4 linked regions of the Diceros bicornis minor genome follow. The protein of the gene in region 1 interacts with the protein of each later gene in a pairwise test. Links are inferred from orthologs where the notes say so. Each region holds a gene or a part of one and is shown in the gene's direction. Other genes may lie near its edges. The genes, in order: FXR2, BAZ2B, PSME3 and MEAF6.

Region 1 (7,050 bases):
CGGGGCCGCCAGTAGCCGAGTGCGCGCACTTAACCACTAAGCCACGGGGCCAGCCCTCTCTGCATTTTTTTAAACATTCTGTTTTTGTTTCATAGATATATGTTCTTTTCTTCTCTTTTTGAGGATATTCATGATAGTTTTATTTAAAAATGCTTTTCTCCTTGCATAGTCTTTATTTCTTCTATGTTTTTTTTTCTTTCTCTATTTGTTTTGGCTTCTGTCTTTCGTTTTAGAGGCTTTCCTCAAATGTCTGGTAATCCTTAGTTGTCTGCTGATATTGAAGATTGGGACACTAAAATACTGATTGGAAACTGTGTGTGTATATGTGGGCGGTAGGGAGGCATGTTGACTATGGCCTCTCCTATAGGGTGATCCACTAGGCTATTTCCATGAGGAGCCTCTGATTTCAGTATCATTAGGTCTTTTTTCTTGTCTGATCAGATTTCCAGAAAAGGCTCTTCCAAACTCCTACTTGGAGGGTATAAACCTGGCTGTAGGTATTCTCAGAGCTGGGTGAAGGAGTCTGGGGGAAGTCTTAACATTCAGTATGTAAACTTTCACTTAATCCTCATTTTCAGTATCTATCTAACCATCCATCTATCAATCTATCCCTCTTTCTATCTTCCTCCCAATCTCTCTATTTAGAAGTCCTAAGGCAGGGCCGGCCCCGGGGGCACAAGCGGTTAAGTGCACAAGCTCCGGTGCTCTGCAGCGGCGGCCCGGGGTTCGCCGGTTCAGATGCCAGGTGCGCACAGACGCACTGCTTGTCAAGCCATGCTGTGGTGGCATCCCATATAAAGTAGAGGAAGATGGGCATGGATGTTAGCCCAGGGCCAGTCTTCCTCAGCAAAAAAAGAGGAGGATTGGCAGATGTTAGCTCAGGGCCGATCTTTCTCACAAAAAAATAAAAAGAAAGAACCAGAAGTCCTAAGGCAAGCTGGATCATTCTGTTACACATCCTTTATACTCCAGCTAGAATAATCTTACTAAAAGGCAAGTCTGCTGAAGATCCGGTAATGGCTCCCTCTGCTCTCAGCAGAAAGTCCAAACTTCTAAATATATTTAATCCCTCCAAGCTCTGGCCCAAACCAACCCTTCCAACCATGTTTCCTCTCCAAGTCGGTTCTAACTATGTTAGACTCTTTTCAGTACCTCAAATGCACTGTATTCTCCTCTCTGAGCTGTCTGCACATGCCATTCTCCTGTCTGAAATGCTGTTCCCCTTTTCCCACTCCCATCCTTTGCCTGAATCAAGAATGACCAGAGCAGATAAGGAAGAGGAAAAATCAAGCCTGAGAGGACTGTTGGTGCCAAAAGCTTGGAAGTTGGTGATGGGGCCATTTCTAAAACAAAATTCTGTCACCCCTACTGCTTGAGTCCAAACCCACACTCTTCAGTCTGACAGCCAGCACTCTTGATAATCTGCCCCACTTAAGTTCTCTAACTCTCCCTACTCCTTACCAGAATCACTGCTAATAGTCTCTTTACCTTTCTGTTACCCTACTTACTGCTGTTCCTTCTCAGGCGCCTGGAAGGCTCCTCTTCTTTTATCAGCCCTTCATATACTGGTGTAGTTGAGAGTTCCATCATGGACCCAATTCATTTCTCAGTCTACACTTTCCTTTAGAGATTTAATTTTCTCTTACAGCTTTAACTATGACTAACATGCTGATGATTCCCACATCCACCTCTCTAGCCCAGACCTCTCCTGGGCCACACGCCTGTGTGTCCATTGACCTGCAGGACACTGATTCCTTCATTCAGTTAATATTTGCCATTCCAGGAACTGTGCCAGGTCCTGGGTGTACAATGGTGGGGACAAACAGACATGGAACCCAGTCTCTGACCTCACAGAGCTTATAGTGTAATGGCAGAAGAAAGATGCTGGACAAATCATTAACATTACAACCATGATAAGTGCCACAAAGGAATATAGGATGCTTTGGCAGTGGGAGGTGGGAGGCCTAACCTAGTGTGGGCATAGTAGAAGGCTAAAGAAATTATATATATATTTTTTAATAATTTTATTTATTTATTTTTCCCCCCAAAGCCCCAGTAGATAGTTGTATGTCATAGCTGCACATCCTAGCTGCCGTATGTGGGACACGGCCTCAGCGTGGCCAGAGAAGCGGTGCGTCAGTGCACACCCAGGATCCGAACCCCGGCTGCCAGCAGCAGAGCGCGCACACTTAACTGCTAAGCCACGGGGCGGCCCGAGAAATTGAGACCTGAAAGAGAAGTTTGTTGAAGACAAAGGATCGTGTCCACCTGGATGGTGGATCCTCTGACTCAAAGAGGGAAACTAAAATCACTAAACTCATCAACTTCTCCTCCAAACCTTTGTCTCTTGTGTTCTCTCTTCCATGATTGGCATCACCATTCACTCAGTAACCCAAGGTAGAAATCTGAGAGTTGTCCCGTGTTCCTCCCTCTTCTTCATTGGCTCCTCACCCCCACCCCACCGAACCCTCATCACCAATTCTTGTTGATTCTACTGCAAATTTAACAGGTGTAAATCAACTTGTACCTCTGTTACCCTGAGCCCTAATCAAGGTAGATCCTCAGCATCTTTCTTACCTGCAAGGGCTCCTCACAGGTCTCACCCTTACTCTTTAATCTATTCTCCACAGTTGTAAAATGTAAATCTTATCCCATTATACTACTGCTTAAAACCTTTCAATGGCTCTCCGTTGTTGATAAAGTAAAAGCCATTCTCTTTAATCTGATTTGCAAGTCTTTCACAGTCTAGCTTCCTGCAGCTCCCTACTTCAAGCCAAATGCTATTTGAACTGGTTGTGGTTCCCCCGAAAGACATACTCTTTCTGCTCCTCTGCACCATTGTATTCCTTGTTCTCTCACGAATACTCTTACTGCACTTTTCCTCTAGCAAACTTCTATTCATCCCTCAAATCTCAATTTGCATCACCTCTGCTTGGCCTTCCCTGATCACTCCGAAGAACAACTGACCATTGTCTCCTTGGAATTTTCTCTATCCCTAATCCTTATCTCTATCATATCTTCAGTCAAACTCTATGCACTTATTTGTTAATTTATTTATTTAAACTTGTTTAATTGCCCCTTCCCCAATATATTATAAATTCCTTGAGATCAGGGACCACATCTTGGCTTTGTATCCCCAGCACTTAGCACAGTGATTGGAACACAGTGAAGGCTAAATAAATTTTTGCTAAATGACTAAATGCACAACACGTGATTCTAATTTCTGTGCTATTTTTATTCGCTTCTACCTAAATTTCTTCCTTAGTTCAAGAACCCGAAGTTTCCCCTCTACTATCCTTACTCCATAACGATTGTTCCTATTTTGAATTTCCTCAGCCTTTAGATATCACATTTTGTGCTGATCTAAGTTGCACTTGCTTTTCGGTACTGCTTTGAAATTATTTTTTAACCTTTCATTATATGCATGATCAGAATTTTCTCTAGGCAACAACGTGACTCAAATTTCCTATGGGAAGGAGTTACAGAAGCTCAAGAGTCGGTAGACGCCTATGGACAGTAAAGCTCAGGGCCTGCGCACCGGGCACCTTTTTTTGCCTTTCGACTCCTCTTCTTTTTTTTCTTTAGAGCGTGCGCACCAAGAAAGACAAAGGTGGGGCAAGTGACCAAGCAGTCATTTAGGCGCATGCCCATCCCTAACTTGTCCAAGCCTGGGGGAGTTCCCAGTGGTAAAGTGGCTGTGGTCTGACCAGGAGCTGCAGAAATCCAATCCAACTGAGTGAGCTCGGCTCCTCCCTCCCCACGATTGGTTAACTCTCAGTGTTGTGGGGCGGGGAAAGGAAGAGCTGGGGGCGGTGGAGTGGTGGTGGCGAAGAAAGGGGGCCAATCTCGTTCTGCGCAAGCGCAAGTAAGCGACCAGGAGGGGGCGTGCGAGAGTGAAACGGAGTTGTGGAAGCCCTGATGCGCTGGCGAGCACGAGCTGGGTCGCCAGTCTTGACGCCTGCGCCGTGAGCCTCGGGGCCTCGCGCGCGGCGGGCGGGTGCGCGGTGCGCCTGCGCAGTAGGCGGAGGCGGCAGGGGGAGGTGGAGGCCGTGGAGAGGCAGCGGCAGCCGCGGGTCCCGGGACTGAGGCAGCTGCGGGGCGGCGGCGGGCGGAAGCTGAGGTGACGAAGGCAGCGGCGGCGGCGGCCGTTTCCCTCACGGTGGCGGAGACCAAGGCGGCGGCGGCGGACGGGGAGCGGCCCGGCCCCGGCCCCCTGCTCGTTGGCTGTGGCAGGGCCGCCGTGGGGCCGGCCCGGCTCCCGCCCCCCGCGGCTCCCCCTCCGGCTCCTCCTCCGGGGAGACGCCGGGGCCCTGGCCCGGCCCGTGGTCAGACCGCTGCTGCAGCAGCCGCCGGGGGAGTCGGAGGAGGTGGCGGCGCCATGGGCGGCCTGGCCTCTGGGGGGGATGTGGAGCCGGGACTGCCCGTCGAGGTGCGCGGCTCCAACGGGGCCTTCTACAAGGTGAGGCGGCGCGCCGACCGGGGACACCCGTCTTTAGCCCCCTCCCTCCAGCCAGAGCAGGGAAGAGTGGGGCGGGATCGAGCTTCTGGAGCTAAGTCCTGACCCTTAGAACCTGAGACCCACACTTTCACCCGCAGCCCTCCTGGGGAGACCTCTGGAAGTTAACCCCCTACCTCTTGGTATTTCACCTGCTTTTACCTCCTTCTCAGAGACTGAACATCAGGTCATCATTGTGCTTAGATCAGTGTCGTCCGCCGCTCCGGCCCCCGTCGCCAAGAGACCCCATTTACCCAGCTTCCTATTGACTTTTCCTGTTTCCTAGTGGAAGACATACCTTAGACCTTAATCACATCTTCCCCACAGTCCAAGCACATGGAGAATTCTCTTTATTCTTCCCTATTAACCCCTTGGGAAGGCCGTCCCATATTAGATCCTTTCGTCTTCCTGGGAGAGGCCTCTTCCTACTGGCTCTGGAAGACTCACCCCACTTTCATCTTGTATTTCTGTTCCCAACCCAAGGAGAAACGGTCAAAATCCATTTATGACATTTGTTATCTTTGACCTCAGGAACTCTGGGTTGTACCATCAAGTTGCCTCCTTAGCCATAGGGTGGCATCTTTTCACAAGTCTCTCACCCCACCCCTTCATCCCAAGGCTAGCTGGTTTACCAGTCTACCCAGGGGTGGATTTGTATTTGTTGTCTCACTTTCACCTCAAATACATTTAGATCATTCATTTCGTTTCTAAATGAGTGTAAGCTTCGTATTCATGATCTCTAAAAGGGGATCTCATGAGGATTCCTTCTGTCTTAAGGATTTCCACTTCTAGAAGACTTTTGGCCAACTCTCCCAATTTGGGAATCTGATAGCCTTTTTTTGAAGAAGAAGGGGACTGTCTTTAAAAGATCCTTGTTTACTTAAGCTTGCCCATCACCCAGGATTTGGTTCCTTAGATTTCCTTTTCTAGGACATTTTTTAGGACATTTACATTTAGCCAGAGGGAGACCCCTCTTGCCTCTCAGGAATTTTTCTTTGTGTGACTGTTGTTATTTTGAACTGCTTTGGACTTTATGCCTGGAATTTTTGCAGACATTTCTGTCTTAGTCTTTCATTTTACCCTGAGGAGCAAGAGCTGAGATATCTTCTCATAACATCACTTGTGAGAAGAGCCCCGTTTTCCTTTACTTCCCCTCAAACCTATTCTCCCATAAAAGAGCTCTCTACCTTCATGCCCTTGGAAATGACTTTCTCCAGCTCCTTCCTTGTGAAGTTATATCTTACTGTAACTGGAAAGAGTCTCATATTTGCGCTTGTAGTGGAAGGTTTCTGCCCCAGCTTCAGTTGGTAAGTTCAGTGTAGGCATTTTTTTACCCACTCTAAGTGCCTATCCATTTCTGCCCTACTTCCCTCACCAGATTTTTTTATATTCAGTGCCTGAGGGTACCCACATCTGTCTATCTTAACTTATTCTCTGAATTTAAGTCTTTGGCTTTTTATCCTAGTATTTCTGTATTCCTCTGTAATCCCCAGGAACTATCTTACTCCGTGTCTCAAAGAAGCTCCCAGCTGATCCTCTTCTGTCATTTTTTCTGCATACTTTCCTAACTCATGGGACTTTTTCTTCTAGCCTGTCTCCATAGCATTTCTGTTTTCTTTGGCAGTCTCTAATTCCTTTCTGATTCTGACAGAGTACATTTGTCTCTTATATCCTTTTCCCCCAAACCAGCATTACCTTTGTTGAAATACCCTTCCTCATAAGATTTTAGCCCCAATTTTCCCATCTTGTCTTTCATCTGGGTCCTTCCCACTCGAAATTCTGGGTTCCAAGAAGAGTGATTCTTAAATTGAGTCTGAGATCAAGATATGATGTTTGCTTTTGTTCTAGGAAACGTGGGAGCCAAGTGCAGCTGGGAAAGATTGGTATCCACTTCAAATTAACTGGGAAGAATGGGCCGGCCCGGTGGTGTAGCGGTTAAGTGCGCGCGCTCCATGTCAGCGGCCCGGGGTTCGCAGGTTCAGATCCCAGGCGCGCACCGATGCACCGCTTGTCAAGCAATGCTGTGGCGGCGTCCCATATAAAGTAGAGGAAGATGGGAATGGATGTTAGCCCAGGGCCAATCTTCCTCAGCAAAAAGAGGAGGACTGGAATCGCATGTTAGCTCAGGGCTAGTCTTCCTCACAAAAAAAAGAAAACTGGGAAGGGAGATGTTTTCCTTTCCACATATGAGTGTCCAACAGAAAATCGCTCTCTGAATCTTTTTCTTTTCTCCTGTGGGCTGTGGCAATGATAGACTTGAGTGAATTGGGGACAGGATACTTTGAATCAGAGAGTAGAGTTTGGAGCTAAGCTGAAAGCTAGGTAATGTGGATTTTGTGTTCTGGCTACTTTAGCATTTTCTGCCCCATGCCTCGGTTAAAAACAATAGTAAATCTCTAAATTCAACTAATCTTTCTTCAACTTTCAGTGCCATATAGATACTTAGCTATTCTGACCTTGCTACTGATTTAATATTCATGACTCAGCAAATTTCAGTGTGGGTCAAGGAGTGTTTGTTTATATTGCTTCCAGAACTATAAATTTGGGAAGGTCCC
Region 2 (7,772 bases), on another chromosome or scaffold:
ACATACCACAAAGGAAGTAGTAAATATTAAACAATTACTGCTATTCTAGTAAATACTAAGTGGAAAATAAGGTTAAAATCACTTCACAGAATAGAGTTTAGATTACCTGAGTATGCCTTAAAAAATTTTTTTACAATGAAAAATTTCAAAGGTACTCAAAAGTAGAGACAATAATGAACCCCTATGTACCAAGCAATAGTCTCCAACAATTATCAACGTTTGACCTATCTTGCTGTCTATTTTACCACCCTCTATCTGAAAGCAAATCCCAATCATGACATCTTTAAGGATGCCTCTTCTGATAATGTTCTAAGCAACCTGTGGTAAATGACCAAATATGGCTACGAATGCTTCCCATTCAAGTATGCACACCCCTCTGCATTGTGATGTTGCTGGTCTGCACAAAAGAGGTGGAATCTTATTTTCCTGTCCCTTCACTGTGGGCTAGCCTTCTGAGACTTACTCTGACTAAGAGAATGCAGTGTAACTGACATTATATGATTTGCAAGGCTGTAAGAAGTCTTACTGCTTCCACTTTCACTGTCTTGGAATGCTGTCTTGAGACCCCCATGTCATAAAGACCACATGGAGCAAAGCCTCAACGTTAACCAACACCAACTGCCAGACATGTGAGTGTTGTCACCTTGGACCTTTCAGCCTGAGAAACCCTCCAGCTGAAGGCTGGTACATGAGTGAACCCAGGCAAAACCAGCAGACTGTCCAACAGGCACATAGAACTGTAAAAAATTAGTAAACAGTTTTAATCCACTAGGTTTTGAGGTGGTTTGCAATGCAGCCATAGAGTAGAGCTTCATAACCTATCCTTTTACTTTCCTACAATTATTATGTACCCAGTTTCTATGAAAAATCTGATTCTATTTGAGAGTCTGACTTAGAATTTGTCTTATATATTCAGGGTAGCTGCAGTTACTGAATTAACAAAAGCACATTACCATCCAATAAATTCATGGCATGAAGGCCAGAGATATCACACAAAATACCAATGTATTTCGATAGCCAATAGTTTTCCAGAAATACAAACATAGGTACAATTCCATTATTTACTTCTACTTGGTTTATCTTTTTGTTTAAAAAATCTGCTTCTGGGGGAAAATTTTTTTTTTTCTTAATGGGAAATCCTAGTGTTTTAATGATCATAGTGAATATGGAGACATAGAAACTAAAGGTAGTCACATGAGAAAAGTACTGTAAAAGCACAGAACTTTTTGGGTCTTTTAAAAAGAAAAAGTCTCTTGATTTTTAGCTGACAAATATTTAAGAAACAAAGATATACTCAAGTCTTAAAAAATAATAACTAGAAAAAAGTTTAACATCTCCATGAGAAAATATGGCTATGATACTAAGTCTACACTAGAGTACTTTATAAAATAATCTTCTCCTTTGAAGTTTATCTAATCTGTATCAAGTTTCAATCTTCATTAAGTGGAAATCATTTTCAAGTTTTCTTCCAGAAAGTGAGAAACACGTTACAGTAAGTGCAAGGATCATAATGGAAAGACGAGAACTAGCATTTAAGGTTCAAAATTTGCCCTCTTTTAAAGCTGGTGACAAAAGTGGGTGTAGAGCGGTAGGTGCTTTTAAAACCAGGTGTTCAACTTATCTAGTCTAACCAGTAGAGCCACAGAGAAACAGATTTGAGAGCAAGAAAAACCAGCTTTGACCACGAGTTCAGACCAGAGCAGAAAAGTTAAAAATTAAGATCAATGAAAATTAAACCCCAGCCAACTCTCAAATTATGTCATCCCCCTCTTTTGGGTTCATGTTATGATTAGCAACTTCATCAAAGATAGAATTTTTGTAAAATAATGGTTTGTGAGAAGATACATTGTTTTGCTGTAATAGAATTTTGCCTTAATGAATTCAAGTAGATCTCAGTAGGAATTCAAAATCTTACTTTAAATAGTAATCATCCTAATATGCTAAGTTGTTCATTCAGTTATTTAACAGCTGAAAGGTTCATTAGTTCTTAAGTTTAATTTGTTGGTTAAAAATGAGGTTTGACGCAAGCCTGTACATTTCACTAATGCATTTCCCACTGTTCTTTACTGGCATTTAACTATCCATAGTAACATAAGGATGTATCAGCAAAGATAATCTAAAAATCATTTTTATTTGACGGAACACAATAGCTATCCATTCCCAACAGCACAGAGCACTAACTTTCTTAAAAAACAGTACAAAAGGTCTTTCATGTCATGCTGTAACCTTCCATTCAATTGTTTCAGCTATGGGGAACAAACTGTCCATTCCTAAAACCAACCATGATACCGTGACTTTGCAGTTTCCTTATGAAACTCCTAGTCATCCTTCACTTCTCAGTTCAAGCAATACTTCCTATAAAAACTTCCCTCAAAATTAAACAGCCCTCCTCTGTGCTTCCACAGTACTACTATACATTTACACTAAAGTAATAGCAGTAGTTATTTACATTAGTCTGATAGCTAAATTGTGAGTTGTAGAGGGCAGGTGCTGTGTCAAGCATTCTTGTAATGTGAAGCCCTAATCTAGTAGCCAGAATACAACAAATAAAAATTATCAAATAATGTAAAATATTTTTGTAATGTAAAATGCTTTACATTATTTGATGATTTTGCACTATTAAAATTATTTTCCTAAAATACTAAAATGTAGGCAACTCTTGAACATATACCAGATGAAGAGTCGTGTGAAGTAGATATATGGAGCCCATTAAAAATTGGAGAGCCAAGGATGACTTTTAATGTCCAAGCTGATTATCTGACATCTTCACGTAGAATATATGTGCTTGTTTGTATACAGGCATCTTTGTGCTTTATCTGGGGAAAATAAGCTCTCTTGCCAATATGGTAGAAAGAGAAATCACTTCTACTTAAATAAGTAGGAATTTTTAATCATTCTTATTCAAGACATCTGACCCAGCATGCAACTTTGGAAAAAATCCAAGACTATGCATACCGACCATACTGACATCTGTGGTATAATTTGGGGCAAAAAAAGAGTTGTAAAAAGTTCTTATCTAAAAACATTTGTAGTCTAGAACTTATATTAACATTATTATGCATGAGAAGCAGCACTATGGGGGATATATTACAGGCTGATTAAATTTTAAGGTTATTCTGATCAGAATGCCTAAATATAAATAACTGGATTTTATGTATCAATTCCAATTGTTTAATATCCATTAAAAATTCACTCTGCAAGTATTATGTCCCCCAGCGTGTTACTGCTACACACTGCCTCACCTAATTTAATCCTCACCTCAACTCTAGGAATTAACTACTACATTTCTAAGGAAATTTAAAGAGGTTAAATAATTACGGCAAAATCAAGACTTAAACCCAGATCTTCTGACTTTAATCCTCATACACCACTGCTGTTTCATAAAATGCTGTAGAGCTGTAAACAAAATACTGACCCCATTCCTGTAACAAAATTTTTACCCACGAAAGAAATCTAGTTACACTACACGCCTGCCTTAACAGTATATCGTTCGATTTTTAAATCGAAATTTCATCTTTAACCTTACCTCTTAGTTCTAGACAGAAACGGAGAGATATGAGTAATAAAAAGGGAAGATTTAAAACAATGAAAATAGAAAAACCCCTAAAAAGTCCTAAAAATCGAAAAGAAAATCTTACTAAATTCAATTTCAGTTGGCACATTTACTCTTAATAGTGCCAAACAACACCAGTCGTGAAGAATTTATGAGCAAGACAGAGATTTTCCCCATATACTAATATTTACATCTGTACGTAAGAAAAAAGTATTAATCGCAGGATTTTTCTGTGTACTTGTACACGTTCATCTTCACTACGCAGTTTCATCAAAATGAGGGAATATGTTACTACTGGTGCCTTCCATATTTTTACTTCTTATGCCAACAGGTCCGTTTTTTTACACATATCACCACCTATTTCAATTTGAAGAACAGATAATTTACTTCAATTCAAGAGGACTCCGAAGTATCACGATATTCAAGAACTGGAACGATCAACAAGCCAATCTTCGCCCCATCGAAGAGGCTGCCAAAGCCCCTTCGAGTCGAGGCTGGGTTGGCGGAGCCCTAGCCCTCCCTGCCTTCAACACCGCGCTCTCTAAATACCACGCTCCTTCAACACCGCGCTCTCTAAATACCACGCTCGTGACACTCGAGGCCCGCAGGGCTCCGGAGGAACCTCCTTAACCCCGGTCGAAGAGGAGGCCAGAGACCAAATCAGGGCTCAAGCCCCTTGCCCTCGCCCACCACACGTCCATAAGGACACGCAATCTGCCCCCTCCACCCATCACAAACTCCACCACGGGACGAAAGGCCACCGGCAGAGCGGGCCTGCGCCCAGCTCCCCTTCGAACCCGTGGTCCCGGATCAAGTTCCTCCACCCCACCTTGAGAGGAAGGAGGCGGCCTCCGCGTCCCCAGGCCGGCACTTCGTCTCCTCCCCTCCCCCACCCGCGGCCTTCACTAGAACCACCTCCCCGAGAGGCAGAAACCCGATCTCCGCAGCTTACTACCGCCGCTCCCGAGATGGCATCGAACAGGGAGCGTCCCGCTCGCAGCGACCACACCGCCGGGCACCTCCTCGGAGTTCTAGGCCTCTAACTGAGGCAGAGCAAGCGGCAGGAAAGCACAATGGCGCCCGGCCCTCTCCCGTATCCGGCGCAGAACAAGCCGCCAACGCTAAATGCCCCTCCCTTCTCCTCCTCCCCCTACTTCGCGGACTCCGCCGGCTTCTCGCGAGAGTGGCAGCGCTGCGGGGATTCCGAGAGCTGCGGGCGGGCTCGACGTACCCCACCGCCTGGTGGTGCTCTGACTGCGGCAACCGTTGAAGGGCTGGCCCCGGGGAGGCAGCGAGGCGCCACCGGTAAGCGGCTGTGGCTGGTCGGCCGGCGGGCTGGCGGCTGGGCCGGCGAGTGTGCGGGCGCCGGGAACGGGGCGCTGGAGGCCCGGCCCTGGTTGGCCGCCGTCGCCTGACTGGCGAGGGGCTCTGAGCCAGCCCTGCCGCTCCCCGGCACCCGAGTCCCCGCCACCTGCTCTTGCCCCCTCCGGCAAGCCTGCAGGGCCCACTGCCCGAAATACTGCCCGGCTCTTTTTTTCTGTTCTTTTTTTGCGCTTGGTAAGTGGCGCAGTGAATGTTTATTGACTTGAATCAAGCACTGCCTGCCCGCCTATTTGATGTCTGCAAAGCCCTCCCCTTAAGGCTAGGAGCCAATTTGTCCGGGACCTTTCGTTGCTTGTGGTAATTCAGTCTTGGTGGTGGTGTACTTTTACAGTCATGTCTTTTATAATCTTGATACTAATCTTTGACAGTGTAGCTACAGATTTTGCAGTAAAAATTCATCCATTTAGAAAGAGGGACGAAAATGGTCTGGTGAAAATTAGACGAAACTTCCAAAAAAGTGTAAATGTGGTAGACTAAGATGTAAATGAGTACTAATAAATAAAAGGCAGTAGGTTAGAGAAAAACGCCACAATTTATGTGGATTTAGGTGATATGTGGATTTTGAGTAATATATCAGACATAAAAGTTCTTTACCGGTGAAGATAAGTTATTGAAACTTGGAGGCATACTGATGGCACTTGATTTTTAAAGTGACGTATTTTATTAGGTTGTTTCAAGCAATTTATTGGCTCCAAATGATTCTAATAAATGAAGTATAAGGTTTATATGTATTTCTTTGTCATTTCATTTGAAGGGAATGTACTTTCACTATCATCCTCATTTCCCTCTGTCTTGGATACTAACAGACTGTCCGTGCTTCATTATTATAAATTGTAAAACATTATAGGTTTTTAAGGATTTAAAGTTTGATTATTATTATTTAAAGTTTAACTTTTTAGGATATGAGTTGAAGATTAAGCATCTAGTATGGGATAAAGTGAACACAGATTACTTTTGAGGAAATTAATTTGTCCTTTTTATAAAAATAATTTTTTTCCAGCCTGTTTGAGTATACCTGTAGCATTATCGTTATGGATATACACATTCTGAAGCACCAGACTACATGAGTTCAAATCCCAGCCCTGCTTCTTACTACATTTCTGGTCTTGAGCAATTCCTTAATCTTGTTAAACCTAGGTTTCCTGTAAAATGGGGTTAATAACAATACCTATACCCCATAGTGTTGTGGAAAGGATTAAAGGAGATAATACATTAGTTCCTGAAATGTAGTAAGCATTCCATAATTGTTAGCTATTACATTCTATGTCTAAACCACCACTAATATTGCCTTTCTAGGACTTCATATTACATAGATCCCCTAAACATCTTCTTCTGAAGTATATTCTATGCTAAGAGGAATGACTACACCATTTTCCTGAGCTATGGCAGTCAGACCTGGTAGTGATAACTTCTCTACAGAACCCCCAAACCTGGCAAGGATGGTTGGGATTTTGGCAGATTACGACTTCATCCTCACCCAGCACTGATGACATCATCAGAGGTGAGTGTGGCACCAATTTCCTATACTAAACAAACCTTCCAGACTCTAGTTTCTTATTGATGCTAGTGAAAATGTAAAGACCACTGATAAGTATGTTTTTCTTTTTTAAGAATGGTTAGTTGTTGTTTTTTAATGTACTTTCTCTGATTTGAGTTTCCAGGTAATTAACTATCAATAAATAATTATTGAGATTTTCCTATGTTAAAGACTATTTGTTAGGAATTGTAGGTACAAATAGGTACAATAGCGACTGTATTTTCTGAACTAAAAATCAGGACAAAATCATTTGACAGGCAAAGTATTTGAAATCGGAACTGTTCTGACCAATCTAGATTCCATGATTGCCTTTTTTGCAGAGTTCCCTCACTTGACCTTCCTTTGCTGAACTTTTTATCTTTATGACCAACTGTGACACACCTTTGGTATCTAAATATCTTAGTTCACCACTTGCCCACACCACTCACATTAGTTTCCATTTTTGAACTTGACTTCTTCTGTAAATTAGAGTCTTACTTACTATTATTATAATTTGTCTGTCATTTAACCCTGGTCATAACAGCCCTTTACTCTTATGCTTAAGTATTTCTTCAACTACTTGATAGCTTAGAATTCGCTGTCACATATTGAATTTTAAAGTTTCTGTTTTCCCCGCTTTTTATCATCCCACAACCTAACCTTCTAAGAAGCTTCTTGATGGCAAGGGCAATCTTACAGATATTCTGCACTTTGCATAAATGGTGTGGTCTTGAAAAAGTGTGGTTATGTTTGCTTTTTTTTTCTAAATCAAATCATTTTCAAAAGTAGGTTATTTCTTAAACTTTTGGGGAACAGGAGGTAATACCTGGGATGAAATAAGAGTGCTTATAGGGAGGTCCCTGAGTTGAAAACAAAGGATACCAATTTCTTCTCAAGTGGGACTCTTTCCTGAGAAAAAAGAACAAAGCTGGAGGCATCAGAATCCCTGATTTCAAAATATACTACAAAGCTATAGTAATCAAAACAGCATGGTACTGGGACAAAAACAGACACATGGATCAATGGAACAGAATCGAGAGCCTAGCAATAAACCCACACATCTTTGGACAGCTAATTTTCAACAAGGGATCCAAGAATAGGATCCAAGGGGATCCAAAGGGATCCAAGAAAGGACAGTCTCTTCAATAAATGATGTGGGCAAAACTGGACAGCCACATGCAAAAGAATGAAAGTAGACCATTATCTTACACCATACACAAAAGTTAACTCAAAATGGATTAAAGACTTGAAGGTAAGACCTGAAACCATAAAATTCTTAGAAGAAAACATAGGCAGTACGCTCTTCGACATCAGTCTTAG
Region 3 (7,835 bases), about 31 Mb from region 1:
TGATGAGGAAAATAAAAGATGGTGATGTGATAGAGAATAAGCAGGGGCAAGGGTGGGTGGAGTTACTTCAACTGGGGGATTCAGGAGGGCCTCTGTTAGCTGGGAAACCATTGAGGGTGAGAAGCAGGGGGAAAAATAAATAAATAAAATTAAAAAAAAAAAAATTTGTTCCTAGAGTCAGGATTTCTGGGTCACAGATATATATACATACATATATATATATATACACATATAATTTATTCAGCTTTTTTTTTTATTTTATTTATTTTACTTTTTTCCCCCAAAGCCCCAGTAGATAGTTGTATGTCATAGCTGCACATCCTTCTAGTTGCTGTATATAGGACGTGGCCTCAGCATGGCCGGAGAAGCGGTGCGTCAGTGCGCGCCCGGGATCCGAACCCAGGCCGCCAGTAGCGGAGCGCGGGCACTTAACCACTAAGCCACAGGGCCGGCCCTATTTATTCGGCTTTAGTAGATACTGCCATTCTTGTGGTTGACATATTAAAAGATAATTAAATCTTGGGTGCTGAGTAGAGACTAGACTGTGGGGGGGAGGTAGGGGGTGGCAAGAGTGAAAAGGGAGAGACCAGAGAGGAGTCTATTGTAATAGTCCTAGCGAAGGATGACAGTGGCTTTGACTAGGATACCAAGAGAGGAGATGGAGAAAAGCATACTTATATGGGATTCATTATACAGGTAAAGCTGACAGGACCCGCTGATGGATTGAACGTGGGGAGATAAGGGAAAGAGAGGAATCAAGGTTGATGTGTTTGGTTTGAACAAGTCGGTGGACAGTTGCATTGGTAACTGAGATGGGGCAGAGCAGGAAAATAACAGCTGTGTAGCAGAATCAAGAATTCTGATTTGGCCACGTTATGTTTGAGAGGCCTATTAACTGTGTAAGTAGAGATATCAAATAGACAGAGCTCAGTGAAGATGTCAGGACTGGAGATATCAATTTAAGGCCATCAGCATACAGACGGTATTAAAAGCTATGAACACAGGTGATAACTCTTAGGAAGAAAGTGTAAGTGGAGAAGAATAAAGGACATAAGACTGAGCCCTGGAGCATGCCATCATTAAGAAGTGGAGCAATGGAGGAAGAGCCGGCAAAGGAAACAGAGAAGTCACCACTGAAGTTAGAGGAAAATTGGAAGAACAGGTTGCTGTGTATGTTTTAAGAACAGGGATGGTTAACGTGTTGAGTGCCACTGAGAGGTTCAAGTAAGATGAAGAGAGTTGACCGCTGGTGCTGTCAACATGGAAGTCATTGGTAACCTAACGAGAATTACCTCAGTGAGAACAGGGGGTGGGAAAGCCTGATTGGAGTGGATTGAAGTAAACAGGAGATGAGGAACAGAGTAAGAGACAATATCATTCAAGAAGTCTTGCCATGAAGAAGAGCACAAACATGGAGCGATAGCTAGAGAGGAACCTGGGTTCAAGGGTGGGTTTTCCTCAAGATGGAAAATATCTGTCATGTTTGGAAATGATCCAGTAGACAGGGATAAATGTAATATAGTAAAGAGAATAGATAATCACTGGAGCACAGACTTTTAGAAGGTGAAAGGGGATGGGATCCAATGCACAAAAGGAAGAGTTGAGTTTTGATGGGAACAGAGATGTTTCCTTCAATGAAAGAGGACGAAAGGCAGAAAGTAATTGCAAGCTAGCAGATTTGGTGGCGAGATGAAGTTCTCATTTACTTCTGTTTTCTCAATGAAGAATGAGCCAAGACCATAAACTAGAGGTGAGAGGGGAGGGATACTGGAGGTTTAGGAAGATGAGAACATATGATAGTCATTTTGAATCTGGGAGAGTAAACTTGTCAGGAACATGTAGTAGGCTCCCAGGCAGCGTTGTGCACCCATCTGAGATTTGTGGACATGCATTTAAAGTGAGACCATGGGGCCAGCCTGGTGGCATAGTAGTTAAGTTTGTGCACTCCACTTGGGTGGCCCAGGGTGCACAGGTTTGGATCCCAGGCACGGACCTACGCACTGCTCATCAAGCCGTGCTGTGGCCTCATCCCATATACAAAATAGAGGAATATTGGCACAGATGTTAGCTCAGGGCTAATTTCCTCAGCAAAAACAGGAGGATTGGCAATGGATGCTAGCTCAAGGCTGATCTTCCTCACCAAAAAAATAAACAAATAAATAAATGAGACTAGTCATCAGTGATCACATTTTGATTCATAAGCACCCTGGAATGAATAAAGTTTATTAAATATAGTGGTGCCCTCAGCAATTGTTCACTGAATAAATAAATAAACAAATGAGTGGAGTATTATATAAAATGTTTGGATGGGGAGGAGGAAGAGAAATAAAGAAGGAATGTGTATCTGTCTTCTTACAACTTACTTGAGGGAGACAAAACATGATTATTTAAGAACAAAGCCATATTTCAACAAGCGCAAACACATTAAGTTTTCAAGTTGAAGTTACTAATTCTGAAAGAAATGAAGGATAATGGCATACTTAAAATAGGATGAAGTTAATTTGGGAAAGCATTCCTGAAGTTAAGTTCCAGATCAGAGTTCAAAAGTTACTAGGGACAATGTTAACAGAAAGCAGAGGTAAAAGGGGGAAAACCGTTACACGTTAATGAGCAAGATGGGTAGTATAGGCTATGTTGTATGCAGCCTTGAATAAGTGGAAAAGTGCTTTGAGTTTGAAAGCAGGGATGATGATAATTACGTAGTTTAAGGAGTAACCTCCTCATGCTAAGCACTAACAGGTAGCTTATCCGACAATGGCTACTATTTATCTAGTGCCTTCCTTGTGTCCAGGCACTGTGCTAGTTCTTTTACATATATATGATTTCCAGTAGTCACAACAACGCTACAGAATTACATATTATTTACTAACAATGATTAAAATTCTATTTTACAGATGAGGGAATTGAGACTCAGTATTTCAGTATTTTTCCAAGATATCACAATAAGAAGCTGAGGTGGGATCTGAAGCCAGGTCTCTCTGATTCCAAAGGCCATAGTCAGTCGCACTTCATTTAACTGTGTATTCCCACCATATCCCTTGCTCTTAGCACAGAGGCCTGCCCAGGACAAGTGTTCAGCCACAAGAGTGACCCCAAAATGTAAATCAGATGACCTGCCTTTGCACTTAATCAAAGTTATTTCCTAACAACCCTCCCCACCCCATTCCCACTCCCACCCCCAGCCCTAGCTCACTAACCAGTTTTTCAACTTCTTCAACAGGACATGTTTCCTTCCCCAGGGCATCTGCCTGTGCTGCATCTTCCCAAGGCTCTTCCCCTCACTCTTCCCAAGCTAGCTCTTTTATATCCTTTAGATTTCAGCTTAACTTCATTGAGAGGACTTCCTTGGCCATTCTATCTAAAATAGATTCCTAGTACTCTCTACATCAGTCATTTGTTTCCTAACATTTATCAAATTTTGCAATTATGTTGAAGGTTTACTTTCTGGTGCCTTTCTCCAGTATTAAGACCCATGAGACCAGACAATTTGAGTCTTTTTCATCTTTGATTTCCCAGAGCTGTGCTGTTCAATACAGGAGCCACTAGCCACATGTGGCTCTAGAGTACTGCAAATGTGATGCCTCTGAATTGAGATGTGCAGTAAGTGTAAAATTCATACCAGATTTCAAAGACTTGATATGATATGAGAAAAGAACGCACAAGATCTCATTAATATTTTTTATATTGATTACACGTTGAAATGATAGTATTTGGATAAACTGGGTTATAAACATGATCAAAATAAATTTCACCTGTTTTATTTTTTAATGTGGCTACTAGATGATTTTAACTTACGTAAGTGACTCACATTATATTTCTAGACTCCGGGACGGTCCTGGCCCATTTTATTAAGCGAAATAATCAACGTTAAGAGACAGACCCAATGAATGGGTGAGTGAAGAGATAGTCTCTGCATTCCATTAGGAAAGGGATACAGCATTGTCCTCGAAGTCAGGAGATTGGGGCTCTGGTCCAGGATTTACTGGAAACACTGTGTAGCCTTAGACAAGCACTACCCAACTCTGGGCGTCAATCTGCCCATCAGGCAGTTGATCTCTGAGGTCTGGAAGTGTATGAGAATAAGTGGCGGAAAAAGGTGGGGAAGTCTGGTACAATACAACTTGTCTTCTGTTTGGCTTTATCCTAACACTAGAGTTTCGGCCAACAGGAAGCGGCTGCAGGAATCGCAGACTAGACCCCCTGAACCCAGCGCCGCGACCGCCGTCTTCCTCGGGCCGACGTCACCGGTGCGCGACGGCGTCGTCGGTACTGTCAAGGCGGCCGCGGCTCAAAAGGTTCCCTCGGTGAAGGCGAGCGCTCGAGTCTGTGAGGCTCAGTTCTCAGTAAAGCACCCTCCGCCGCCCTCCCTCTTACCTCACTCCTCCTGGGAACTAGAGCCAGGGAGACATAAGCCGGGCCCACAGCGTCCGGAGCCGAAACTCAGCGCGGCTGCGCACGGCACGTGCGCATCCTCGCCGGAGTCCCGGCGATTGGCTGTGACGTAACTTCCGGCGTGAGCGGCGAAAGCCGGGAGGGCGAGCGAGAGAGCCAGCAGGCAGCGGGCGGGCGGCACGGAGGAACGGAGTCAGCAGTGAGGAAGCCAACGAGGGCGGCCGCGTCCCGAGAGCAGCCGAGATTCCTGCCGTCCCTCTGACCGTGTCCCCGGAGCCCACAGCGCCTCCGGTCTCCAGCGGAACGGACACGGCCCGGCCCGGCCATGGCCTCGTTGCTGAAGGTGGATCAGGAAGTGAAGCTCAAGGTAGCGGCACCGGTCCGGGCCTCCTTACCCCTCGCTTCGATGCCGAGCAGTCTGACCGCCTCCCCACTCCCTGGGAAGTCTTTATCTCCCTGGGGACACCAGCTCTGAGCTTCCGCTCTGCTCAGCCCAGCCCCCCACTCCCGGAGACGCCATCGGTGGAGAGGATAAAATAGGGTGGTCTTCTGTATCCCGTTTGGTGGTGGAGAGCCCCGGGGAGACCTCTGCGAACACGTGGTGGACTCAGTGCTCTAGACTAGTGACAGCTGGAAGTCCCCGAGCCTAGCAACATCGCCGCCGCCAGACGCTGCCCCTGCCCTTGGCGTCAGGCCTGCCTGATATCGTAGGCCAGGTTTGGGTGGGGGTTGGCACGTTTGTGAGGTCACACCTCCCTTAGCTACCTGTCTTTTGTCTGCTCTCAAATTCAGACACAGGGAGAGAGGGAGGGAAGACAGGTGGGTGCTGCCTTCAAAGCCCTGCTTCCCTCTCCTGAGATGGAGAAATGGATCCTCAAAAAAATAAAGTATTTGCAGTCTGGGGGCCTTTCAGCTTCTAATTATAGTTACAAGGTGAGGGAAAGACAGCCGGATTTGGGTTTCCCACTCCAGCCCTTACTTCTGTTGCCAGGTATTGACTTGCTTTTATTGAATTGCTCTCTTTGTTAATTTTAGGTTGATTCTTTCAGGGAGCGGATCACAAGTGAGGTGAGTGAAATAAATAGAAAAATGAGTGTTGGTTAATAGTTGGGACTTTCCAAAAGAAGAGATATCAGAGAGGGACCTTCCCACAATTATTAATTTAACTGTATTTCCCCTCATCTTTAGGCAGAAGACTTGGTGGCAAACTTTTTCCCAAAGAAGTTGTTAGAACTTGATAGTTTTTTGAAGGTGAGAGACCCTTTTCTTTTCCTCAAATTCCCTAATTTTTTTGGCCCTGGTCTTTCTGTCAAATGGGACAAATGATGTGTTGGTTCTGTTTTGTTTTGTACTGTAAAGCATTCTCATTTCTTGCCCTTCAAATGAAATACTTCTTTGTTCATCTTGAAAAGACTAATGTTTGTTTTGGGGGTGGGTGTCTCTCTTTCAGGAACCAATCCTAAACATCCATGACCTAACTCAGATCCACTCAGACATGAATCTCCCAGTTCCTGACCCCATTCTTCTCACCAATAGTCACGATGGACTGGACGGTGTAAGCGTCCTATATTTATCTTTGTGTCCTGAAGCAATAGGTTCTCTGTCCTCTATTTCCTGGTCAGTTTGAGCATGTGCAGAGGGGACAGTGGGATTTGAATCTGAGAACGAGGACTTTTAGAGACATGATGACTACAGTACACCCCCTTTACACCCTGACTTTCATTTCTAGCATGAGGTGAATATGCTAATACTACTCCGTGTTAGAGTGGGTTTCAAATAGGACTAATAGCTGCAGGTTCCCTCAGGTTATCTGGTCTGTCCCCCTGGCTCTAAGTAAGACTTTTCTTACCTGTTTCAATGTCTGGAGTCTTGTTATGGGGTGAGTAGTTCTTGCTATATAACTGCAGTCTCTGTCTTTGCTGTGTATCTTCAGCACCTAATCCTTATCAGTTATATATCCACATTTTCTTATAACACTGATGACACTGTATTGTCTTTTGTCTGCATTACTGTCTCATTGATAGAACTTGTAATTGTGGAAAGCAGAAACTGTCTTAATCATCTTAGTATCCCCAGCACCTAACATTGTTGCTGGTACATAGCAGATGCTCAATACATTTGTTAACTGAATATTGTGTTTCTTTGTGGAACCAGCAGATTTGTACATATTCCCTTAATTATCCGCACCCTGCATTGAATGGTTCATTTTTCCTATTGTTTATAGTATCCACCCCCTCCGCTATATGCTTACTGTGTTATATTTCTTGAAAGCTTGGTCTTCCTACTAGAGTGTAAGTTGCTTTGTGGCAAGGACCTTTTCTTAAAGCCTTGTATGTGCTTAGTAAATTGTGCGTCAATTAATAAGACAACCTGTGGGGTTGAGGAAGGGATTAAACTTGCTAAAAGGTAACTTGTGATGGGGACGTGGATGTTGAGAGCAGGCTAATTCCTGTCTTTCTGTATCCTTAGCCCACTTACAAGAAGCGAAGGTTGGATGAATGTGAAGAGGCCTTCCAAGGTAAGAGCCAACCCCTACTCCCTAGTTTGCAGGATGGATCTGGTGTTCTGCTGGCCAGGAAGCAGGATCTTATTTTATTTCCCAGTGTTAGCATTCCCAAGTTCTCATAACATGGTCATTGTTTAGCACTCTAAACCTAATTTTCCAATAAACAAGAAGGATTTGATTTAGTGTGGACTGCCAAGGGAGAGAGATTGGAGATGGCTACACACTGCAGATCTTTCACAGAAGTTCCAATTCCATGTTATTTTTTCCTCTTCAATAATGATTGGTGTATTAAATCTTTAGAGCATATTTTAATTTCCTTATTCTTCAGACCTTTGGCATACCTTGGACACTCATTTGTTAATCCATACATTCTCTGTTTTTAATTCTGTGGTGGTGTCATGGTTTGTAGATAGGGTTGTGATAGATAAAAGGCAGAAGTCAGGGGCCGGCTTGGTGGCGCAAGCGGTTAAGTGTGCGCACTCTGCTGCAGTGGCCTGGGGTGCGCCGGTTCGGATCCCGGGCGTGCACCGACGCACTGCTTGGCAAGCCATGCTGTGGTGGCATCCCATATAAAGTGGAGGAAGATGGGCACGGATGTTAGCCCAGGGCCAGTCTTTCTCAGCAAAAAAAAAAAAAACAAGACTACTTATAACAAATCTTGGGCCGGCCCCATGGCTTAGCCGTTAAGTGCGTGCACTCCGCTGCTGGCGGCCCGGGTTCGGATCCCGGGCGCGCACCGACGCACCGCTTCTCCGGCCATGCTGAGGCCACGTCCCACGTACAGCAACTAGAAGGATGTGCATCTATGACATACAACTATCTACTGGGGCTTTGGGGGAAAAAAATAAAAATTAAAAAAAAAAAAAAAAAGGCAGAGGTCATAGCATCTCACAGGTCTGGGGAAGAAGAGAGAAGGGTGGGGGATGCTGTGTCCTGC
Region 4 (7,814 bases), on another chromosome or scaffold:
CGGTTTAAGATGACGCTGTACTATTAGTGCCTCCTGGTGTCTGACAGAAATAAATGAAATTGCTCTTTGGAGGAAGGGACTTTTTATCTCCCCTCCAGTTATTGCCACATTTTTTTCTGCAAAGAAAAGGCACTTCTAGGGCCAACCCCGTGGCTTAGTGGTTAAGTGTGCGCTCCCCTGCTGGCGGCCCCGGTTCGGATCCCGGGCGTGCACCGACGCACCGCTTCTCCGGCCATGCTGAGGCCGCGTCCCACATACAGCAACTAGAAGGATGTGCAGCTATGACATACAACTATCTACTGGGGCTTTGGGGGAAAATAAATAAATAAAATTTAAAAAAAAGAAAGAAAAGGCACTTCTAGCTGAGAACCAACAGAAATAAGATAACAGAAACTGATTCTCAAAGACTTCAGATACTTGCATTAGAAGATACTATAAAATGTTCATGGTTCCTATTTTCTTTCTTTTTTTTTTTTGGTGAGGAAGATCAGCCCTGAGCTAACATCCATGCCAAATCTTCCTCTTTTTGCTGAGGAAGACTGGCCCTGAGCTAACATCTGTGCCGATCTTCCTCCACTTTTTGTGGGATGCCGCCACAGCATGGCCTGACAAGTCATAAGTCGGTGCGAGCCCGATCGGAACCGGGGCCGCCAGCAGCAGAGCACGCGCACTTAACTGCCTCAGGGCTGGCCCTGTGGTTCCTATTTTCAAAGAAATAAATGATAAATTTTAAAATACCCACAGGGAACAAGAAATGGCAACAAATGAAAAGGAAGTTATTTAGAAGACCAACTACTTCAACAAATGGTGTTGGGAAAACTGGATAGCCATATGCAAAAAAATGAAAGTAGACCCTTACCTTACACTGTACACAAAAATTAACTCCAAATGGATTAAAGACTTGAATGTAAGACCTGAAACTATGAAACTTCTAGAAGAAAACATAGGCAGTATGCTCTTCGACGTCGGTCTTAGCAACATATTTTCAAGCACCATGTCTGACCGGGCAAGAGAAACAATAGAAAAAACAAACAAATGGGACTACATCAAACTAAAAAGCTTCTGCACAGCAAAGGAAACCATCAACAAAACGAAAAGACAACCTAACAATTGGGAGAAGATATTTGCAAACCATACATCTGATAAGGGGTTAATCTCCAAAATATATAAAGAACTCATGCATCTCGACAACAAAAAAACTAACAACTCAATTAAAAAAATGGGCAAAAGACCTGAACAGACATTTCTCCAAAGAAGATATACAGATGGCCAACAGACACATGAAAAGATGTTCAAAATCATTAACTATCAGGGAAATGCAAATCAAAACTACAATGAGATATCACCTCATGCCCGTCAGAATGGCTATAACTAACAAGACAGGAAACAACATGTGTTGGAGAGGATGTGGAGAGAAGGGAACTCTCACACACTGCTGGTGGGAGTGCAAACTGGTGCAGCCACTATGGAAAACAGTATGGAGATTCCTCAAAAAATCAAGGATAGAACTACCAAATGATCCAGCTATTCCACTGCTGGGTATTTACCCAAAGAACTTGAAAACACCAATGCGTAAAGATACATGCACCCCTGTGTTCATTGCAGCGTTATTCACAATAGCCAAGACTTGGAAGCAACCTAAGTGCCCATCAAGGGACGAATGGATTAAGAAGCTGTGGTATATATACACAATGGAATACTACTCAGCCATAAGAAACGATGAAATCCAGCCATTTGTGACAACATGGATGGACATTGAGGGTATTATGCAAAGTGAAATAAGTCAGAGGGAGAAGGTCAAATACCGTATGATTTCCTTCACTAAGTAGTAGATGATAACAACAATAAACAAACAAACAAACAGAGACAGAGATTGGATTGGTGGTTACCAGAGGGGAAGGGGGGAGGGAGGAGGGCAAAAGGGATAATTCAGCACATGTGTGTGGTGATGGGTTGTAATTAGTATTTGGATGGTGAACATAATGTAATCTATGCAGAAATAGAAGTATAATGATGTACACCTGAAATTTATACAATGTTATAAACCAATGTTACTGCAATAAACAAAAAATTAAAAAAAAAAGAAAATAGCTCATTAATTGAAAAGAAGAAATTTTGTATCATTTACAAAATATTAAATCATTTTAACAGAAAAAAAATAAAAAAATAAAAGACCAACTAAAACTTTTAGAGGGCCGGCTCCATGGATTAGCAGTTAAGTGCGCGCACTCCACTACTGGCGGCCCAGGTTCGATCCTGGGCGTGCACCGAAGCACTGCTTATCCGGCCACGCTGAGGCCGCGTCCCACATACAACAACTAGAAGGATGTGCAACTATGACATACAACTATCTACTGGGGCTTTGGGGAAAAAAAAAGGAGGAGGATTGGCAATAGATGTTAGCTCAGAGCCGGTCTTCCTCAGCAAAAAAAGAGGAGGATTAGCATGGATGTTAGCTCAGGGCTGATCCTCCTCACACACACACACACAAAAACTTTTAGAAATGAAAAACACAATAACTGTAAACCCATCAATGGATGGCTTTAACAGAAGCTTCAGGGAAAATTAGTGAACTGGAAGATATGTCAAAAGAAATTATTCAGGCACGTAAATTTAACAACTTAGATGAAATCAAACAATTTCTCAAAACCATAAAATACCAAAATACACCTGATATGAAGTAGATCATCTGAATAGTCCTATAACTATTTAAGAAATTGAATGTGTAATTAAAAGCTTCCAAAAAGAAATATCTAGGCCCAGACGGTGGTTTCACTGAAGAATTCTACCAAACATTTCAAGAATTAGCACCATTCTGTACCATCTCTTTCAGAAATCAGAAAAGCAGGGAACACCTCCTAACTTAAAGAAAACTACAGACCAACATCCCATGAACTTAGCCACAAAAATTCTCGATAAAATATTAGCAAATTGAATCCAGCAATAGATAAAAATAATTACACAACATGGCCAAGTAGGGTTTATTCCAGATATGCAAGGCTGGTTCAACAGTTGGAAACGAATGTATGTAATCCATCATATCAAGAGAGTAGAGACAAAAAATCATGATCATGTTAATTGATGCAGAAAAAGCATTTGACAAAATTCAATACGCATTCATGATAGAAACTGTCAGTAAACCAGGAATAAAGGAAAACTTCCTCAACTTGATAAAGAGCATCTACAAAAACCCTACAGTTAACATCATACTTAATGGTAAAAGACTGAATACTTTCCTCCTAAAATAGGGAACAAGTCAAGGATGTCCACTCCAACTGCTCTTATTCAACATAGAACTGGAAGTCCTAGCCAGCATAGGAAGGCAAAGAAAGGAAATAAAAAGCATACAGATTAGAAAGAAAAAAATAAAACTTCCTATTTGCAGTTGAAACAACTGTCTATGTAAAAAATCCCAAGGAATCTACAAAAAACCCTCCTAGATTAATAAGGGAGTTCAGCAAGATCCCAGGTTACAAGATCAACACACAAAAGTAATTATCCAGAATGCATCAGAGAGACAAAAAGGATGGAAAAAAGACAGTAGGCAAAAAAATAAAGGATTAGGGGGAGCCTGGTGGCGTAGAGGTTAAGTTCACGTGCTCTGCTTGGGCGGCCCAGCCGGGATATTAGCCCAGGGCCAATCTTCCTCAGCAAAAAGAGGAGGATTGGGAACAGGTATTAGCTCAGGGCTAATCTTCCTCAAAAATACATACATACATACAGGATTATTATGTTTAATCTGAGTTCCAGAAGGAGAGAGAAAATGAGGCAGAGGCATATCTGAAGAAAAATAGCTGAGAATTTCCCAGAACTGGTGAAAGATATCAATCCACAGATTTCAGAAACTGAAAGATATCCAAGCGAGGAAGAAAAAAAAAAATGAAAAAAAAAAATCCCATTCGCGATAGTGAAATTGCAGAACCCTGAAAAATAGAGAGAGCTGGGGAAGAAGCAGGGGCCAAGTGAAAACAAAGTTAAGGATGCTGGGCTTAAAGATAAATGCTAATACTTATACGTAGTCCCTATTACTTGCCAAGCCCCTACATTAAGCGATTTACTCCTCACAGCAATTTTATTTGGTAGGTACCATTACTACCTATGTTTTATAGATGAGGAAGTTGGGACAATGAAATTTAGCTGCCTGCCCTAGGCGGCACAGCTGATCAACGGTAGAGGCAGGATTTTGAATACGGTAGTTTCGGCTCCAGTTTGCGTCCTTAACCGCTGCACATACTTGTCTCTCGAAAGGGCAATGGGAAGCCATTGAAAGATTTTAACCAGGGGAGAGACACCACGTTTGTTTTCCACAAACAAATCCTCTGGCACCACTGTGGATAATGGACTAAATAGAGCTAACGGTGGAAACAGGAGGCTGTTGGAATAATGTAGCCAACAGTAGGGAGGGCCTGGATGAACGAGGGAGGTGGCAGACAAAAGCAAACGGATTTGCGGGCTCTTCTGGAGTCGAGTCCACAGGATTTGGTTTTGCATGGGATTAAGGGGGTGAAGGAGAATGAGCATGATACTCAGGTTTCTGACTTGGGCAATTGGGTGGACAGTGCAAGTCGTTCACTGAGGCGACTTAGGAGGAGGTTAGTTTTGGACACGGTGAATTCGTGGCGTCCGTAAAGCCCAGACGTCCAGCCAGGGGAGAAACACGGCTACGACCAGGAGCAGAGCGCTAACGCCCGAGGCGAGGCGCGCGAGAGCCCGAGGCCGAGAGCGCGGCGCGCGGCTCCGGAAGCCGGGCGCGCAGGCGCAGTGCGGCGCAGGCGCCCCCTGGCGGGCGGCGGCGCGCAGGGACCGCCCCCAGCTGGCGCCGCCGCCGCCCGCCTCAGCCCAACATGGCGATGCACAACAAGGCGGCGCCGCCGCAGATCCCGGACACCCGGCGGGAGCTGGCGGAGCTCGTGAAGCGGAAGCAGGAGCTGGCGGTGAGGGGCTGGCACTCGGGGCGCCCGGGTGGGTGCCCCGCGCCCGCGCGCGCCTCCGGGCCCCAGCCCCGCCGCGCCAGGCCGTTACCCCGGGAGTCCGGTGGCCGAGGCCGGGCTGCGCATTCCGCGGCCCGCCGGCGCCTCGGCGTCGCGGCCGTGCGGAGCGGGGGCCGGGGCCGGGGCCGGGGGCGGGGCGCGGAGCCGGGGAGGGGGCCGGGCGGGCGGGGGCGTGGAGGCACGATGCGCCTGGGAGTGGGGGCTTGTGCGTGGGAGCCTGGAAAGGCGAGTGTCCGTGAGCTCTGCGGGCTGGGGGAAAGCGGGCGGGTCCGCGATCTTTGGGGGTTGGGGCGGGCGTGTCGGTGGGCTGTAGGAGATTGGTTCGGGCTTGCCGGTGGGCTTTGGGGCGGGTGGGGTAGCACCAGGGCGGGTATGGGAGGGGCACCTTGTTATCCAGTCTGGCCTTTGGAGGATGGAGGGGCGCATGTCCTTTTGGGAACTAGGAGTAGATCCGTTGGATGGGGTTTTTGATGGGCAGATGTGATGTGTTTGGGAACATCTAGAAAGTGACAGGCGAGGGGAACGGGCTCAGTCTAGGGAATTATGAATTGTGACATGCAGCCAGGGTCCCATGCACCCTGATGGCTAAGCCCTCCCTCCCCATGGCGTTTTGGCTTGGGCAGCGGGAGGCCCATCTCACCTGAAGCTGCCCTTCCAGGTTTCCATAGCAACTGGCAGCCTAGCGCAGGCGGCCTCTCTGAGCCTTCCGGGAGGGGAGCGAGTTGGCGCAGGAGGCTGCGCAGCCTTCCTTCTCCCCGGTAGCGGTACCTTTTATGCGTGGGAGTGGCGACCGCTCACGTTCTGCCTCAGCCGGGGTTCTTGACAGCTAGGTTTCTATGAACCCTCTGAAATATATGGACAATTTTGCACGCGTGTATATTTTTCTGGGGACGCGCTCTGTCTATTCCATTCTATTCTCAAAGGGATCCAACAAGACAGGTCTAGACTGGCTTAGTCTGAAGCAGCGTGCCCCTCCCCATATGATCCGTCTTTCTACCAGGGTGGTTTAGTGTAGTTGAGCTTGAGTTTTCAGTTTGATCAGACTTAACGTTTGCGTTTCAAAGGCATTATCCATTTTCCTTGTTTTTCATCTCTCAGGAAACACTGGCAAACTTGGAGAGACAGATCTATGCGTTTGAAGGGAGCTACCTGGAGGACACTCAGATGTATGGCAACATTATTCGTGGCTGGGATCGGTATCTGACCAACCAAAAGTGAGTGTCAGAAGCCTGCAGTGTTTGTGTTGTACCCTAGTAGTATTTGTTTTTAAGGATATATGTATTCTTGGTGGCAAGTTTGCAGGGAGGCAGTAATAAAGTGGTGGTGGGGAAAGAGATCTGGGCTTGAACTTGGACTCTGGCTCAGCCATTGCTTCACTGAGTAATTCCGGACAAATCCTACATCACTAAAGTAGAAAGTCCAGCCTATGGCACAGGGTTGTGTGAGGCTTAAATGAAGTACAGCATATAATACTTTACACAGCAGCTCTCTTGTTAGTATTTTCCACATTTTAATCAGTCATGAGCTCCGCCCTCACGATATTTGCCATACCTGTGTGCCAACTGTACTACTATTTATTTAGTAATATTATTTTTGAAAACTGTCTGAACTTTTTGAAATTTTTCAAATCTATGGAAAAATTGAAAGCATAGTGCATGAACACTTGTTACCCTTCACCAGCATTCACCACTTGTTAACTTGTTGCCACATTTGCTTTCTCTCTTTCTTTTCTCTTCCTCTCTCTATAATATATGTAAACACACACATCTATCTATACTTAACTTGTTAAAAAAATTTTGAAATAATTATAGATACGTAGGAAGTTGCAAAAACAGTACAGGGAGGTCTCATGTACCCTTCACCCAGTTTTCCCCAATGGTTGGGTTTTATGTAACTCTAGTGCACTATCAAAACCAGGAAATTGACATCGATACAATGTGTATATGTAGTTCTGTCATTTTATCATGTGTGTAGATGCCTGTAACCACCTCTGCAATCAAGATACAGAATTGGGGCTGGCCCCGTGGCTTAGCAGTTGGGTGCGCGCGCTCTGCTGCTGGTGGCCTGGGTTCGGATCCCGGGCACGCACCGACACGCCGCTTCTCTGGCCATGCTGGGGCCGCGTCCCACATACAGCAACTAGAAGGATGTGAAACTATGACATACAACTATCTACTGGGGCTTTGGGGGAAAAATAAATAAAAAAACAAAACAAGATACAGAATTGTTCCATCACCACAAGGATCTCCCTCAGGCTGCCTCTTTGTGGTTATATCACCCCTTTCCCCATACTTTTTTTTTTCCCCCCCAAAGCCCCAGTAGATAGTTGTACGTCATAGTTGCACATCCTTCTAGGTGCTGTATGTGGGATGTGGCCTCAGCATGGCCGGAGAAGCGGTGCGTCGGTGCGCGCCCGGGATCTGAACCTGGGCGGCCAGTAGCAGAGTGCGCGCACTTAACCGCTAAGCCACGAGGCCGGCCCTCCCCATACTTTTTTTTTTTGCTAAACCATTTAAAGGTTAAAAGCAGATATATCATAACACTTTGCCCCTGATTATGCCAGCTATTACCTCCTAAGAATAAGAACATTTTTCTTACCTAACCACAGTTATCGTGCTTAGAAAATTATCACTAAATTAATAGCATCATCTAATACACAGTCTTTATTCAGATTTCCCTAATTGTCCCCAAAATGCTTTGCTACCTTGTTTTGATCCACGTAGCATCCGTGCATTGCATTTTGCTGTTACGTCTCTTTAGTTTCTTAATTTTGGAGAGTCTCCCACTTTTTTGGTGGTGAAGTTGTTTATGAGGTTGTCTTGT

Evidence for each region.
Region 2: the proteins of FXR2 (region 1) and BAZ2B interact in binary tests that used the Homo sapiens proteins (3 or more experiments, as listed by UniProt). The two-hybrid records come from large-scale screens. The link is inferred for Diceros bicornis minor from reciprocal best matches to the Homo sapiens genes FXR2 and BAZ2B.
Region 3: the proteins of FXR2 (region 1) and PSME3 interact in a two-hybrid assay, tested with the Homo sapiens proteins (2 studies listed by BioGRID and IntAct). The link is inferred for Diceros bicornis minor from reciprocal best matches to the Homo sapiens genes FXR2 and PSME3.
Region 4: the proteins of FXR2 (region 1) and MEAF6 interact in binary tests that used the Homo sapiens proteins (3 or more experiments, as listed by UniProt). The two-hybrid records come from large-scale screens. The link is inferred for Diceros bicornis minor from reciprocal best matches to the Homo sapiens genes FXR2 and MEAF6.

What each region holds. Positions count from the first base shown.
Region 1 is NC_080757.1:10,725,618-10,732,667, forward strand, and holds the start of FXR2 (RNA-binding protein FXR2), read left to right. Parts: upstream 1-4,050; 5' UTR 4,051-4,378; coding exon 4,379-4,459; intron 4,460-7,050. UniProt on the Homo sapiens protein: mRNA-binding protein that acts as a regulator of mRNAs translation and/or stability, and which is required for adult hippocampal neurogenesis. Specifically binds to AU-rich elements (AREs) in the 3'-UTR of target mRNAs.
Region 2 is NC_080749.1:42,355,666-42,363,437, reverse strand, and holds the start of BAZ2B (bromodomain adjacent to zinc finger domain protein 2B), read left to right. Parts: upstream 1-4,763; 5' UTR 4,764-4,858; intron 4,859-6,232; 5' UTR 6,233-6,437; intron 6,438-7,772. UniProt on the Homo sapiens protein: Regulatory subunit of the ATP-dependent BRF-1 and BRF-5 ISWI chromatin remodeling complexes, which form ordered nucleosome arrays on chromatin and facilitate access to DNA during DNA-templated processes such as DNA replication, transcription, and repair.
Region 3 is NC_080757.1:41,839,923-41,847,757, forward strand, and holds the start of PSME3 (proteasome activator complex subunit 3), read left to right. Parts: upstream 1-4,824; 5' UTR 4,825-5,250; coding exon 5,251-5,325; intron 5,326-5,427; coding exon 5,428-5,460; intron 5,461-5,580; coding exon 5,581-5,643; intron 5,644-5,842; coding exon 5,843-5,947; intron 5,948-6,861; coding exon 6,862-6,910; intron 6,911-7,835. UniProt on the Homo sapiens protein: Subunit of the 11S REG-gamma (also called PA28-gamma) proteasome regulator, a doughnut-shaped homoheptamer which associates with the proteasome. 11S REG-gamma activates the trypsin-like catalytic subunit of the proteasome but inhibits the chymotrypsin-like and postglutamyl-preferring (PGPH) subunits.
Region 4 is NC_080752.1:51,572,149-51,579,962, reverse strand, and holds the start of MEAF6 (chromatin modification-related protein MEAF6), read left to right. Parts: upstream 1-4,814; 5' UTR 4,815-4,844; coding exon 4,845-4,934; intron 4,935-6,089; coding exon 6,090-6,205; intron 6,206-7,814.